Nothobranchius furzeri: one gene and its partner. The protein of the gene in region 1 purifies or fractionates together with the protein of each later gene. This does not show direct contact. Links are inferred from orthologs where the notes say so. Each region holds a gene or a part of one and is shown in the gene's direction. Other genes may lie near its edges.

What was found. Proteins that work in one complex are often made in the same cells at the same time.
Region 2: the proteins of polr1f (region 1) and si:ch211-140b10.6 purify together in Homo sapiens (affinity purification with mass spectrometry; 3 studies listed by BioGRID and IntAct, counting the BioPlex papers as one, with this or other methods). This does not show direct contact. The link is inferred for Nothobranchius furzeri from reciprocal best matches to the Homo sapiens genes POLR1F and POLR1D.

The regions. Positions count from the first base shown.
Region 1 is NC_091751.1:28,039,929-28,046,454, reverse strand, and holds the start of polr1f (DNA-directed RNA polymerase I subunit RPA43), read left to right. Parts: upstream 1-2,278; 5' UTR 2,279-2,323; coding exon 2,324-2,607; intron 2,608-2,880; coding exon 2,881-3,022; intron 3,023-3,093; coding exon 3,094-3,302; intron 3,303-6,526. UniProt on the Homo sapiens protein: Component of RNA polymerase I (Pol I), a DNA-dependent RNA polymerase which synthesizes ribosomal RNA precursors using the four ribonucleoside triphosphates as substrates.
Region 2 is NC_091747.1:51,105,017-51,111,375, forward strand, and holds si:ch211-140b10.6 (protein POLR1D), read left to right. Parts: upstream 1-2,493; 5' UTR 2,494-2,638; coding exon 2,639-2,664; intron 2,665-2,995; coding exon 2,996-3,070; intron 3,071-3,506; coding exon 3,507-3,858; 3' UTR 3,859-4,354; downstream 4,355-6,359. Other genes in the region: pdx1 (pancreas/duodenum homeobox protein 1), read left to right, coding at 5,484-5,850.

The DNA.
Region 1 (6,526 bases):
TGGCTCAGGAGGTGGAGGCTTGTCCTGTAACCGGTGGGTTTCTGGTTTGAACTCTGATTTTCTGTCTCTGTCATTGTGTTCTTGAACAGACCCTTCACCTGCCAACACCTCCTGACAGTCCACATCAACCATCAGCATGTGAAAGTGTGTGTGTGTGTGTGTGTGTGTGTGTGTGTGTGTGTGTGTGTGTGTGTGTGTGTGTGTGTGTGTGTGTGTGTGTGTGTGTGTGTGTGTGTGTGTGTGTGTGTGTTAGCTGTTTCCCATCACAGCAGAAACTGCTAGGCACTCTTGCTGTTCAGGAAACCACTTCACTGGTTATCACCATGACAACGGACAGGAGAGGGGGGCCACAGCACCCCTGAGAGCATCAGGATCTGCAGTCGACCCCATCAGGGATACAGGGAGGAAAGCTGATCATGGCACCTCCTGTGGTGCTGCGCTGTCAGAAAAGAGTAACATTAGAACTGTGTGTGTGTGTGTGTGTGTGTGTGTGTGTGTGTGTGTGTGTGTGTGTGTGTGTGTGTGTGTGTGTGTGTGTGTGTGTGTGTGTGTGTTACACTAGCTGACACCCCAGGTCACCCTAATGGTTTTAATGTGAAGAGGATGCAGAATCAATGCCCTTTCCAGATGTATCTGTGCATGATCTAAAGCTTATATAATGAGAGTGCATGGGTTTAGTGCATCAGATCAGTGATAATGCTTATGTTATTATTTAGCTCTAATAATGCTGTTACCCTCTAAACAAACTAAACATAAAGATGAGTTACTTTGATTTAAAACTCCTCACTGAACCATGTAAACCTGCCAAACTGAAAGGTGCTAAACCTGCTGTGGACTCTAATTAAAGTTAGACTAAATAGTTTTTTAACTTTAGTCCGGAGATTAAACGTTGATCTCTGAGACAGTTCTTCGCCGTGTCCTGTCCGGCTGAAAAACAATCAGAACTGATGTCTGAGTGCCGAAGACAAGCCTTACAGTTTTTCTCTCACAGGTGGGTCAGCTACAATGCCTCACCTGAAATCAGAACATTCTGTAGTTTTTGGAAGTATTTGTTCATTTATGACAAAATAGCTGAACACTATGAAAAAATGGCATTGCTGCTTAGGCTCTGGGCAGGGCTCAGGGACAGGGACTGACTTAGCTGTTATGTACTGATCCATTTAAAATATGTCAATCATTCACATAAAGCAGATTTATATCTCATCATCTGATTAGTTAAAAACAAAATATGTTTTGTTGAGTCTGGGTTTCAAAACAGGAATGTCACTATTTTAGTTTTACTTTCTTTTACATTATTGATGAAATACAGAGAGATCAGCTTGTGAATCCAACACATGGCAACACTGTAAGTATAGCACTGTTAACACGTGGAGAGCACCAGCGTAAATACATCTTTTGTACTTTATTTATTTATTTATTAGAGAAGATAACATACAAACAAAATGCACCTTACATTATATATTCAAAAGATAATCATTACATGCATATTCAACATTTTCATGTATATGGAAAAAAAGGAAAATCTAAAGATGGGGTCACATAATTAACAGGTTATTAACTTACTAACTCAAAATCTTCTACAAAGGAAATAACAAACCAGCCTTTTTCTTTTTAACTAAATTCAAAGATTTAACTAATACTTTTAAGTTGTTTTTCCAATAGGCTAGTGTTGGTTTGGTCTTAAAAAATCGACATTTATGTATAAATTGTTTACACAAAATTAATAACACATTAACACCATAACTAACTTTCTTTTCTTTCAAAAACACTCCAAACATTATCATATTTAAGGTAAATGGGGCAATTTGAATCCCACTAGAACAAAGCCAGGCATGAAAATCTAACCAAAATATTTGTATAAAATTGCACAAAAAATAGATGGCCTAAGTCCTCCTCTTCTGTTTCACAAAATACACAATTACCAGCTTCTATATTGAATCTATCCCCAAGGAGTCTATTGGTTGGGTAAATTTTGGTCAAAAATTAAAATTGGACTTCTTTCCCTTTAGGAGCGATAGGGAAGGTGATATCACTTCTTATTTTTTCAATTTCTTCCCTTTGGAAATCTTTTAATATGTAATTACGTCTAAGTAAGTTTGGATCAAAAAGATTCCTTAATGAAGATCTTAGAAACTTATTATTGCATTTATCATCACAAAATTGAATATCTTCTATATAATACATCTTTTGTACTTATTAGCTCACGGTCTCCCAAAGAGCGCTGCTCCAGTGAACCTCCGAGCCAGCAGGGGGCAGCATAAAGGTTTAGTCGCTAACTTCAACACGACAGTCTCGGTTGTTTGTCTTCCGGTCCTCTGGCAGCATGGCGAACTTCGAGCATGCTGTGGAGGATCCAAAACATGTGGACTTGTCCAACAATATGAGCGCTGCTGGCGCCCCGGTGAAGCCGTCCTCTGCTCCGGACAGAGATGCGGGCTGCGTGGTCCCCTCCTTCGCGGCCGCGTCGGAGCTCCTGCCGGTGCCGTACTCGTGTCTGGTGCTGAACTCCCACCGGAGACACGTCGCTCTGGCGCCGCAGTACTTGAACAAGAAGAAGACTGGCATCCAGGAGGAGCTGGACGGAGAGCTGCTGAAGTTTTCCCAGAGGTAGAAAGACGAGCACAGGCGGGATTGCCTGATTTAATCACTGTGCTTGCATTTTATGGCAGTCAGCTGACAGCTAAAGGTGTATTCTTTGTGTTTTAAATGAACTATTTGATCTTTTTTTAAACAACTGGAATCAGCAGCGTAACATATCTTCAACATCAGGAGGTTTATTTGAGCTCAAGTCAAAGATGGAGTCAGGATTGTGTCATAGTATGCTTGGAAAACTGCTGGTATTCCCGTTCCAGTTAAAGCTGTTGGTTTTGTGTCTTCCAGTTTGAATGGAGTGCTGTTAGCCTATGACAACATTAGGATTTTGGGAAGAAATGGGGACATCTACAATGACAGCGGCTACATCCACATGGACATAGAAGCCAGCTTCATTGTATTTCAGCCCAAAAGGGGACAGAAACTCCTGGTAAGATGGACAGAATTAATCAGAAGTCATCTCAGTAGCACCAATTGCTGTCGTTGGTTTGTTTTCTACAGGGTAAAGTGAATAAACTGGGAGTGAGCCATGTTGGCTGCCTCGTGCACAGTTGTTTCAATGCCAGCATTCCCAGGCCAACTCTGGTGTCCATAGAGACCTGGAGGGACGCTGGTCCTAAAGTCGGGACAGAGCTGGAGTTTAAGGTGACCGCGCTCGATGCTGATGCTGCAGGAGTTCTGCTGATCAGGGGACAGCTGGGCCGGACCAGGTGAGTAGGTGCTGATGCTGAGTTGATGGTTTGTTTTAGGGCTGGGCGATATGGACCCAAACTTATTCCTCTATCTTTTAGCTGAATTCCGATATACGATGTATATCTCAATATTTTTCCTCCTGTAAAGTATTTCCAAGTTAACTCACTTCAAGCTGTCTTGAGAAATTATAAACATACATCAGTAGATTAAATGCATAAAAATGTATTGATTCTTGTCCAACTTTAACCTTAGTGCCTATTCTCAACCAGTCTGAGCTTTAGAAACACTGGTACAACTGTCTGCTAACACACACACTCACACACACACACACACACACACACACACACACACACACACACACACACTCACACACGTACACAGTTGAGAGCTAGAGGTGTATCAAATGTCCCACAGGGACTTTTTTATTATATATTTATTAGTAATGTAAAATGATTTAGATTTCATCTAGAGGTGGCCCATATCGTTTATTTCTTGTCCATAACAAAAATCTATCATGTTAGGCTAAATTTATGATGATGTTTATGTATTTAGCAGACGCTTTTGTCCAAAGCGACTTACAAGTGATAATCGGCATGTAGCCCTTGAGGCTAACAACAACAATAACAACAACAACATTGACATCAGTCATGGAGAGGAGGGAACAAAGGAGTGGACGTTAGAGGGAGGGACGGGTGCAGGAAAGGTGCTAGTTAAGAAGATGCTCTCTGAAGAGCAGGGTCTTCAGGAGTTTCTTGAAAATTGAAAAAGAAGCCGCTGTTCTGGTAGTGCTTGGAAGGTCATTCCACATTTGTGGAACGATGCATGAGAAGAGCCTGGATTGTCCTGAGCGTGGTGTAGGCACTGCTAGCCGACGATCCTGTGATGACCGGAGCGGCCAGGCCGAGACGTAAGCCTTTGCAAGAGGATTCAGGTAGATGATGCAATTGCATCTACTGAAGGTCACATGGGTCATGCACCATAGAGTTATTAGTTATCAGGGCAAACATGGCTGGAATCTATCAGTGTTGACTCATATCAGCGATTATACTGTAATGACTCAGAGTCTCTGGTTGCTCTTTTATGAGTAATATATTTGAGCTACTGTCGCCGTAACCCACGCCTTACAAACTCTTAACTTTTTCAACAGAATTGCTCGTAACGGGAGTATTTATTAGCATAACAAACCACAGCGGAAAACCCGGAGCAACATTTCTCACCCGTTGAGCTCGCCTTCAAAATAAAACGTTAACCCTATAGTTTACTATTCAAACCCTTACTATATGTTTGAAGTAATTTGCCCACTCCGGCTTTCCGTAGATGTTTCCTCATTACACAGGGGAGGGAGGGGTTTGACTCGTCTCTCCACACAAGCAGGACGGAAAACAGAACTCCGTTGGCGTTGAACGTCCCCAAATAATTAAAAACCAGAACGCCACATGCTAAGTTTAGACCAGCACATTTACCCAGAGGCTCTCAGATTGAGCAAACTTGAGAGAATACATGTAATAACCCCTTAGAGACGGAGCAACATGTCACTAGCATAGCAGTTTGACCAGTTATAAAGGTATAAAGTCATCTTATATCTTGTTTAAAAATTATACCGATATTTTAAAAATATCGGTATATCGCCCAGCCCTAGTTTCTTATATGTTATCAGTTCCTGTTTCCACCTGGGTTCAGTGTCAAAGTCACGTTATTGTTTTCATTTACATTTAAAACAGAAAACTGAAGTTACATCAGTTCCCAGGCTTTTGTCTTTTTGTCTTGCTCTTGTTAAGGAAACAGAATCCGATAGTCCCACATGTGAAATGGGGTTAGGAGTTTTAAAAAGTAAAACTTCTTCATATGTCTGCTAATGACCTCACCAATTAAACAGATTATTCATGAACATTAAATTATCAATAATGGTAGGATACACGAAGTCAGCCATCCAAATGTAACTTCACGTTTTTATTTGTTATTTTAAATGGACAGAAATCATCGTCATATAAAAATATGAACATAGCCCACCTGTTGCTCCACCAGGGAGCAGGTTGAAGCCAAAAATGGGAGGTTCCCAACAGGGATTGTGACCAATATGGCTACTAGCTAACCCAAGAAGTTAAGAAGGGCTCCGGGGACCGTGGGGTAGCCCACTCTCACAGCCGACCGACTTGTGTGTGAGGCTGTAGTCGTGCTGGTCGGCTTTGGAGATCTAATATGGACTGGGACTTTTAAACTACAAGCAGAGCCAAACCGCTGCGATCAGGAGCCCTGGCCTTTTAGATCAGCTCATTCTCCACGGTCAGAGATCAGCAGGTCATTAGCTACATGCTAACCCAAAGCTAACAGAGATTTCTGGGCGTTTTTAGCAAGAAAAACGAGGTAGAGCAATTTAAACATGAAGGCACCTCCGACCTGCTTTGTATTGAAATTATAACTAGGTAAGCCGAGGATATCAGGCTTTGCTGGTCCACCGCGGTCAAAGATCAGCGAGTCTCGTGCTAAATTTAAGAAAAGTGTAATAATTATCCGATTAGTCGACTAATCGTTTCAGTAGTCTGTGGCTAGTCGACTGTTAAAATAGTCGTTAGTTGCAACCCTATTAGAAAATCCACCACGCAGCAGAACTCCTCCAGGCTTATGTCATTTTTATCTTGTGAGGCGCTATATAAATGATTGTTTTCTTTCCTTCTTTTATCTGTGGAGGTAAAACATCAGAGTGAATTTTTCTAAGACAAATCTCTGAAAAGAAACAACAGATCTTTCAGGGATTCAAAACCTTTATAGAATGTAATCATGCCTTTTATCGATACATTATAGAATGTGTGTGTGAGTTATACGTGTTAATACAGATGTGAAAGCAATTATGTAAAATAATCGTAATCGTGAAACTGCGATTATTTCTCAGACTATAATTGTACAAGGGCTGCTCGATTATGGCAAAAATAATAATCACGATTATGGTGACTGAAATTGAGATCTCGATTATTTAGGACGATTTTTCAATTTATGTTGATTTTATTTGTTTTTATTCTGTCATAAAATTGCTCAGGGCACAATCAGGACAAAAATAAATAAGAAACAAGATGATCACTAAAATAACTCCTGATTCCCAGTATAAAAAGACCAATATACCTATAGCTCATAGTCTATGACCCAAGGGCTATAGACCTTGGTTTAACTCATTTAAGTCTAACCAGTACAGACCCAAATACCAATATCTTGCAAATACTGACAGCAAGAATTATGCAGTGGCATT
Region 2 (6,359 bases), on another chromosome or scaffold:
CTGTTCTGCTCAGTGGGGCTTGACATTCAGAGTGTAGCCAGCGAAGGATGCAGAGGAGGCGCAACAACAGATGCACTTCTCCCAGCAAGATGCTGAAAGCTCGTCACACTGCGCAGAGCAGGATGAAAGTCCCTCCGGTTCATTTCTATTCTTGCGTTTGATTTGATCTGCACAGATTGTCTCCTGACAAACCTGTCCCTACCGTCTCCTTGGCCACGGGACCAGTAGCCCCTTATTTCTGTCTCCTTTTCAAGCACATGCTCCTGTCTGTGTGTGACTGGCTGCTTCTGTCTCTATCCCGCAGCTGGACATGAATTAATCATGAGGACACAAGGCTTCTCTGTTTCTGTAACAAAGCTGTGACATCACCACATCACACACAGACGTGTAGACATGCAGGCGTAAACCTGCACGCGCATACGCAAACAAGCACACGAGCTTTATCCAGCAGGCCCTGAAAATAATCTTTGGGATTTTAGAACTCTCAAAGCACTTTGATCTTTTTCAGGACAATAGTCCTCTGCAGAAGTATGAATGCATGCATGCTTTGTATTGTATTAACGAATGACAGAATTTTGTCTACACACAAATGACAAACTAAGGTTTTAGCACGTGCAGAAATGCAATAACCAACAGAAATGGCATCATAATTTAGGCCACAGATTTTAAAACTCAAGTTTATCTTACGTTCGACCCGATCTCTTCATCCATGTTTTTAAATTTATTTAGAAGAGGCCTGCAAGGTGTGTTTCAATTGTCTGTTTTTCTCCAGGCAGACGTGCAGGGGTGACAACAAAAACAGACACTGATTTGATTAAATCTAGCATTTTCTCCTCCTCCCGGTGTCGTCGTCCCAGATTGCCTTGCATAAACTGCAGTGTCATATTCCGGTTAAGTCAACATCGTTATTAAAATCATCGCACCCCTCTTTCACCTCCCTCCCCAGCTGTCTGACTTCATCCCATCCTGCAGAAGCGGAGGCGCGAGAGGACAGGACAGAAGAGGCGACAGCATCAACCCCGCTCGCTGACACAGCTCATGCAGGAGATGGATGTCTCCAGATGTGATGGATGTTTTACCTTCTTCCGGCGGCTCCTCCGCGCCGTCCACTCGGGCCCCAAAGCGGGGAGCAATTATCAGCTGCGGGGCGTCGATCACGCATTCGCCGCAACCGACGGAGAGCTCCGCAAGCCCGCAAGAAAACGCCCCCGTACCGTTGGCGCCGCTGATCCCGCCCACCGCTGCCAATCAAAAGGTGATGGGAGGAGTCTACGGAGCTGAGTTTAGAGGTGGCTTACACCGACCGCCTGTTCAAAAACAGGATCAGAACAAAAATTAGAATAGAATAGAATAGAATAGAATAGAATAGAATAGAATAGAATAGAATAGAATAGAAAAAAACAGAACAAATATATACTTAATTATCTGCCTCAAAAGTATTCTTACAGTGCTGGGTGAAGTGTATTACCCACAAGTCATTGCTGCAGGAGAAAGGGTTCAAGTTCCTTTTCTGAATATTTTCTAATGGAATGAGTTAGTTTTGGGACAATCAGTTGATGCTCTGAATGTTTTAGACAAAGCAGCAATTAATTAAAATTTATTTCAAATAATGGGTTGTTTGTTTAAAAGTTGTTAATAAAGGCTTTTGAAAAAGTATCACAGGACCAGCATCTCGGCATGCGTTGCGTTTCATGACGCAATGCTCCCTGTCTCACTTCAGCAATTATTTGCACAGTTGTAGTCCACGCACTCGAAGCCTTACTGCACACTTTCTCCAAGTGCACTTTGCTGAAGACTGCAGGGCGCAATGCGAGTATTGGCACTGGGCCTGCTTGTGATGTCACAATTGGGGACAATTTCAAATAGCTTGTTTTAGGCACAACATTTCTACAACCACACATTGGCATGTTTGGAGCGTTTATAGAGGCAGAGTGCACATGGCGGCACAAAAAGGATGCAAAAGGCATAATATGTCTTCTTTAAGAAGATTACTTCTAAATAAAAATGTTTGTTATTGTCCTTTAATGTATCACAATCTAGATTACTAAAATATCTTGCTTGATGATATTCTGTAACTATCACTTTACTTTTGATTAAGCCATTGTATGTATTTAAATTATTTTTACAATTTACCAAAGAATTAAGTTGGCTTAGTTCCCAATGGAAAATGTTTAATCAAATAAAAAATGTACAAGTTTAAATGTCACATTTTACGTTTCGATTTGAGTATAAATCCTTTTTTTTAACAAAGTGTGTTTATATATTTGTTTGATTCTATGTTTGTTTTAAAGTTATTTGTGGCCAAATGTTGCTAAAACAATCAGCTGTAAATGTTTTTCCAGGGGTGCCCCATAACTTATTGAACTTTTAAAAATATCAATTATTTTAATTAAAAAAGATCAATACATAATACACAAACATATCTACTTGTAAATAAAAAATGTAGTTTGGTTTCATAACTTATTTTCAACATGATTTTGCAACTGAACAGGCATTGCTCCGGGCAGCTAAAAACAGGGTCCGCGATTGAAGGACCTCTCGGCGAAGTGAACAAGAAATGCCTCGTAAATTAACGTAAATTTATAGGTTTTATTAGGTTTTTATTTATTTGTAAGAGTTTTTGTGTGATTAAGACGCAATGGCGGAAGAAAATGAGCTAGAAAAGTGAGTAAATGTATCTTTATTAACTTCCGTCTGAACACATTTGCAGACATTTTCCCTCTAAAATGTAACGCTGCGGAAAAACAGTCTGTTAGTAGTTCTGATCTGAGTTGTTTACTGTATTTAAAGTTGACTTGTTGACTCTAGCTGCCTGTTGTGTGTAGTTTCAGGTCGGCATAAGTAGCGAGTCCAATCTGGTGATGAGACTCATTTCGGGTCAAACAAGGACACGTCCGCTTTACTTTCATCTTATATTTCTTGTACATCTGCTCAGAATTTCTGTCCTGTTTGTCTCATGACTCATTCTCCTGGTTCTGGGTCCGGTTCCGTCTAGGCGCGCCGTGGAGGAGCTCCTGAGGGAGACTGACAGAGCCCGGGTGAGAGCAGAGACCATGGGTCCTGCAGGATGGTGAGCTCTGAAATATCTCTGACCCTCTCATGTGGATTGGCTTTCTTTCTTTTCTTTTTTCTTTTTGGATAATTACTTAGTGTCTAGTATTATTTTAAATATTAGATTATTTTGCTCATGTTCTCATTAAACCATCTGAACACACCACGTGTCTTCCTAAAAATGTTAGTTTTGCACTAAAAGTTATCTTATCTGTTGGTATTTTAATTTGAGGTCTTATATCATATATATACATTAAAGGTTTTTTTGGGGCATTTCAATCGTATGTGTGAAAATTTCTTATTTAGCCTCTTTATTCTATAGTTAAAGGGATAAAACACCCACAAAAGTCATGTTGCTGAAGTCTGATTGAATCTGTGAAATTAAATTTCTTCTTTCGGCATCAACTGCTGGATTTTTCTGGATCTGTGTCTGATGTTTGTGGATTTTTCTCCAGGTTGAAGTGTCCTCTACAGAGCACCAACAAACGCTTCTTACTCAACACCCTGCGCTCCACGGGCCTGCACCGGCGCACAGAGGAACCCCAAGCCAAATGTTCCTCCACAAGAGGACGCCTTCGGAGCGAGTCCCCGGACAGACAGCGTGACCGCAGCAGAACGCCTCCGCCTGATCACAGGAATACTGGCGGCCCCTCGGATCATAAACGTCCTCACATGGACCGCCGCACAAGTCGAGATAAGAGGCCGGACAGAGATAAGGACAGACGCAGCAGACACCAAGACGACAGAGACCGGAAACATGCCGATGGACAGAAAAGAGACAAAAAAAGACGGATTCAGACTTCATGAATGGACCGGCTTTGTTTTTAGTCTCAGGAGCTCATAACCGACTGAGAGGTGCTGCTGTTTGCTTTGTGTTTAAAAGAGAAAAACTTTATTTAAAATATCATTTTACAGAGAAATAGAGTGAGTTTTGTCTCTTTGGACGTACTGGTAGATTATTTTCTTTTTTCCCAATAAAATGCAACAGAATGAGGTCAAACAGTCTCTCTCGTGACTCATGATGAGGTGTAACCGTGTTCGTCACAGGAGGGGGACCTAATCTCTATTATAACGCCATTACTATTCATCACGTGTCATGATGTTTACATAGGCCACGCTGCTGTCGCCACAGAGTAAGCATGTTTTATCATTTTTTGACATGCCGTCAAAAACTGGTTTGTTACTCAATGAAAAAGCTAAAAAACATTTCATTTATTTTGTTTCAGGAACAATCTGTTGATTTTGTGTGATTGTCCTCACTTTGAGATGGCAGATGGCCATTAAATCTTTCCATTTTTTCTGACTCCACTGTCTTTTATTATTTCTACAACTTTACAGGGACGAAAGTGTCTGATTCTGATTGCCTCCCTTCTTAACGGGCAACACGCCTCATAAATCACATATGGAACAGCCTGGGTTAACAATTTCCTTCCTCTTTACAACAATGATCAAATATAAAGGCCATTAGGCCATATTGCAGGGGGGTGTTTTGCATAGAAATGGCTCACCTGGACTTTATTGCACCGTTGAGTGCTGCCATTAAGATTCATTGGAAAGTGCTATAATTGCTTTTGAAGATCTGAGTGCAAATAGTCTATCGAAGCTGCGCAGACTATCAAAATAAAAGCCGGCTCGTCCCGCGTGACAAACATGCGTCTGAAAGTCGTGCGTAAAAGGCCGTGGAGACGCGCGCTCCAAACGCGCACGGCGGTTAATTGAGTTCAGTTGGTCTCTTCATGATAATTGACTAACCAAGAGGGCTATTGTTAAATGGGGCGAGGACACACAAAGATTAATGGCCAGCAAACACGAGGAGAGTGCAGCAGAGTTGTGTTTGTCGTCGCCAAGGTTTTTTTTATCGTCTGAGGCAGCGCGCGCAAAAATGGTGTTAAATGATGCATTTAGAAAAGTGTAATGGACAGATTTAAACGTCAGAAAGAGCTGGACTAAAATAAAAGGCTGTGGAAACTAAGGTGTGTTTCCAAGACAACGGGTGCCTTATCTCGCAGGTCAACCCAATGTTTGCACCCATAGTATCGATTTACAAGACTCATATTCGCATAAAATGTCGATTGCTTCCATGTCTGTGGACGAGAGTCCTGCGTGAAGAAAGTATCCAAATTTTTGTTGTTCCACTCGGAGTTGGTGTATGTGAACGTTTTGGCACCGATTTTACGCACTGCTCTGTTCAACTCAGGGGGAAAAGCTGCAGAATATCATGGAAACTGGGCGCTGTCATTCCGAGCAAACACTGGAGCCAATGAATTGGGCGCCTTGGGGTCACATGATGTCTGAGTGACACACCTGTGTGGAGCAGGGGCCTTGCAGTTGCGCCACAGGTGGAGCCGAAGGTCCACACCGAGGAAGGGCGGCAGGAACAGGGTGCATGTCCGCGTCTAACGCCCCCCTGTAACCTCCGCTCCTCTCCAGCCATGAATCGAGAAGATCAATTCTACCCCTCTCAGGTGTTTAAAGACTCCTGTGTCTACCAGAGACCACAGGGGGAGGACTACAGCCCTCCACCCTGCCTCTACATGAGCAGACCCGTGCACTCCGTCTACACACCGCCGGCCTTGGGAGCCCTGGAGCAGGCCAGCCTGGACATCGCCCCCACTTACAGTGTGCCCATGCGGGAGGATCCAGGTGTGCCACAGCTGCACCACCCGCAGGGGCTCCAGCTGTCCCCGCTCCAGAATCTGGGTTATGGAGACACGGGAGATCAGAACAGATACCAGCTTCCTTTTCCCTGGATGAAGACCACTAAATCCCATTCACACACCTGGAAGGGACAGTGGACAGGTAAGCCCTCTGTGCCTGAAGGACATTTAGATGTGGACACTAAATATTTATAACTTTAACGGACTCTCCTGGGCCTGCATGTGGTGGTACGAGCTCCCCACAAAAACCCAACAGGCTCAAACAAAAGCTTTTCATTAACATTAAAACACAAACTTCAAATGTTATTTTATAAAGCAAATTAAAATAAAACTCTATGGACTAAATGGAAAATGTTTCAGATTAAAAGGCTTTTTTATCCGGGATCTTTTGACTAATGACGAGTTAGAAAAGTGACAAAATTTTCAAATCAAATTCAGATGTGATTTCAATACTAAAATTATAAAAAGCTTTAATTGTCACATTTGAAAAAAATTAACACATTTGTAGCTTATAAATTGATTCAGTTACATGAAATTAATCTGGATTTTTTTATATTTATGTGCTGATTGTGACTTTCTAAAATGAACTAGTTTTTTAGTTTAAAATTGCACAAAAGAAAAAAAAATCATGAAATATTTAATTGCTGCTAA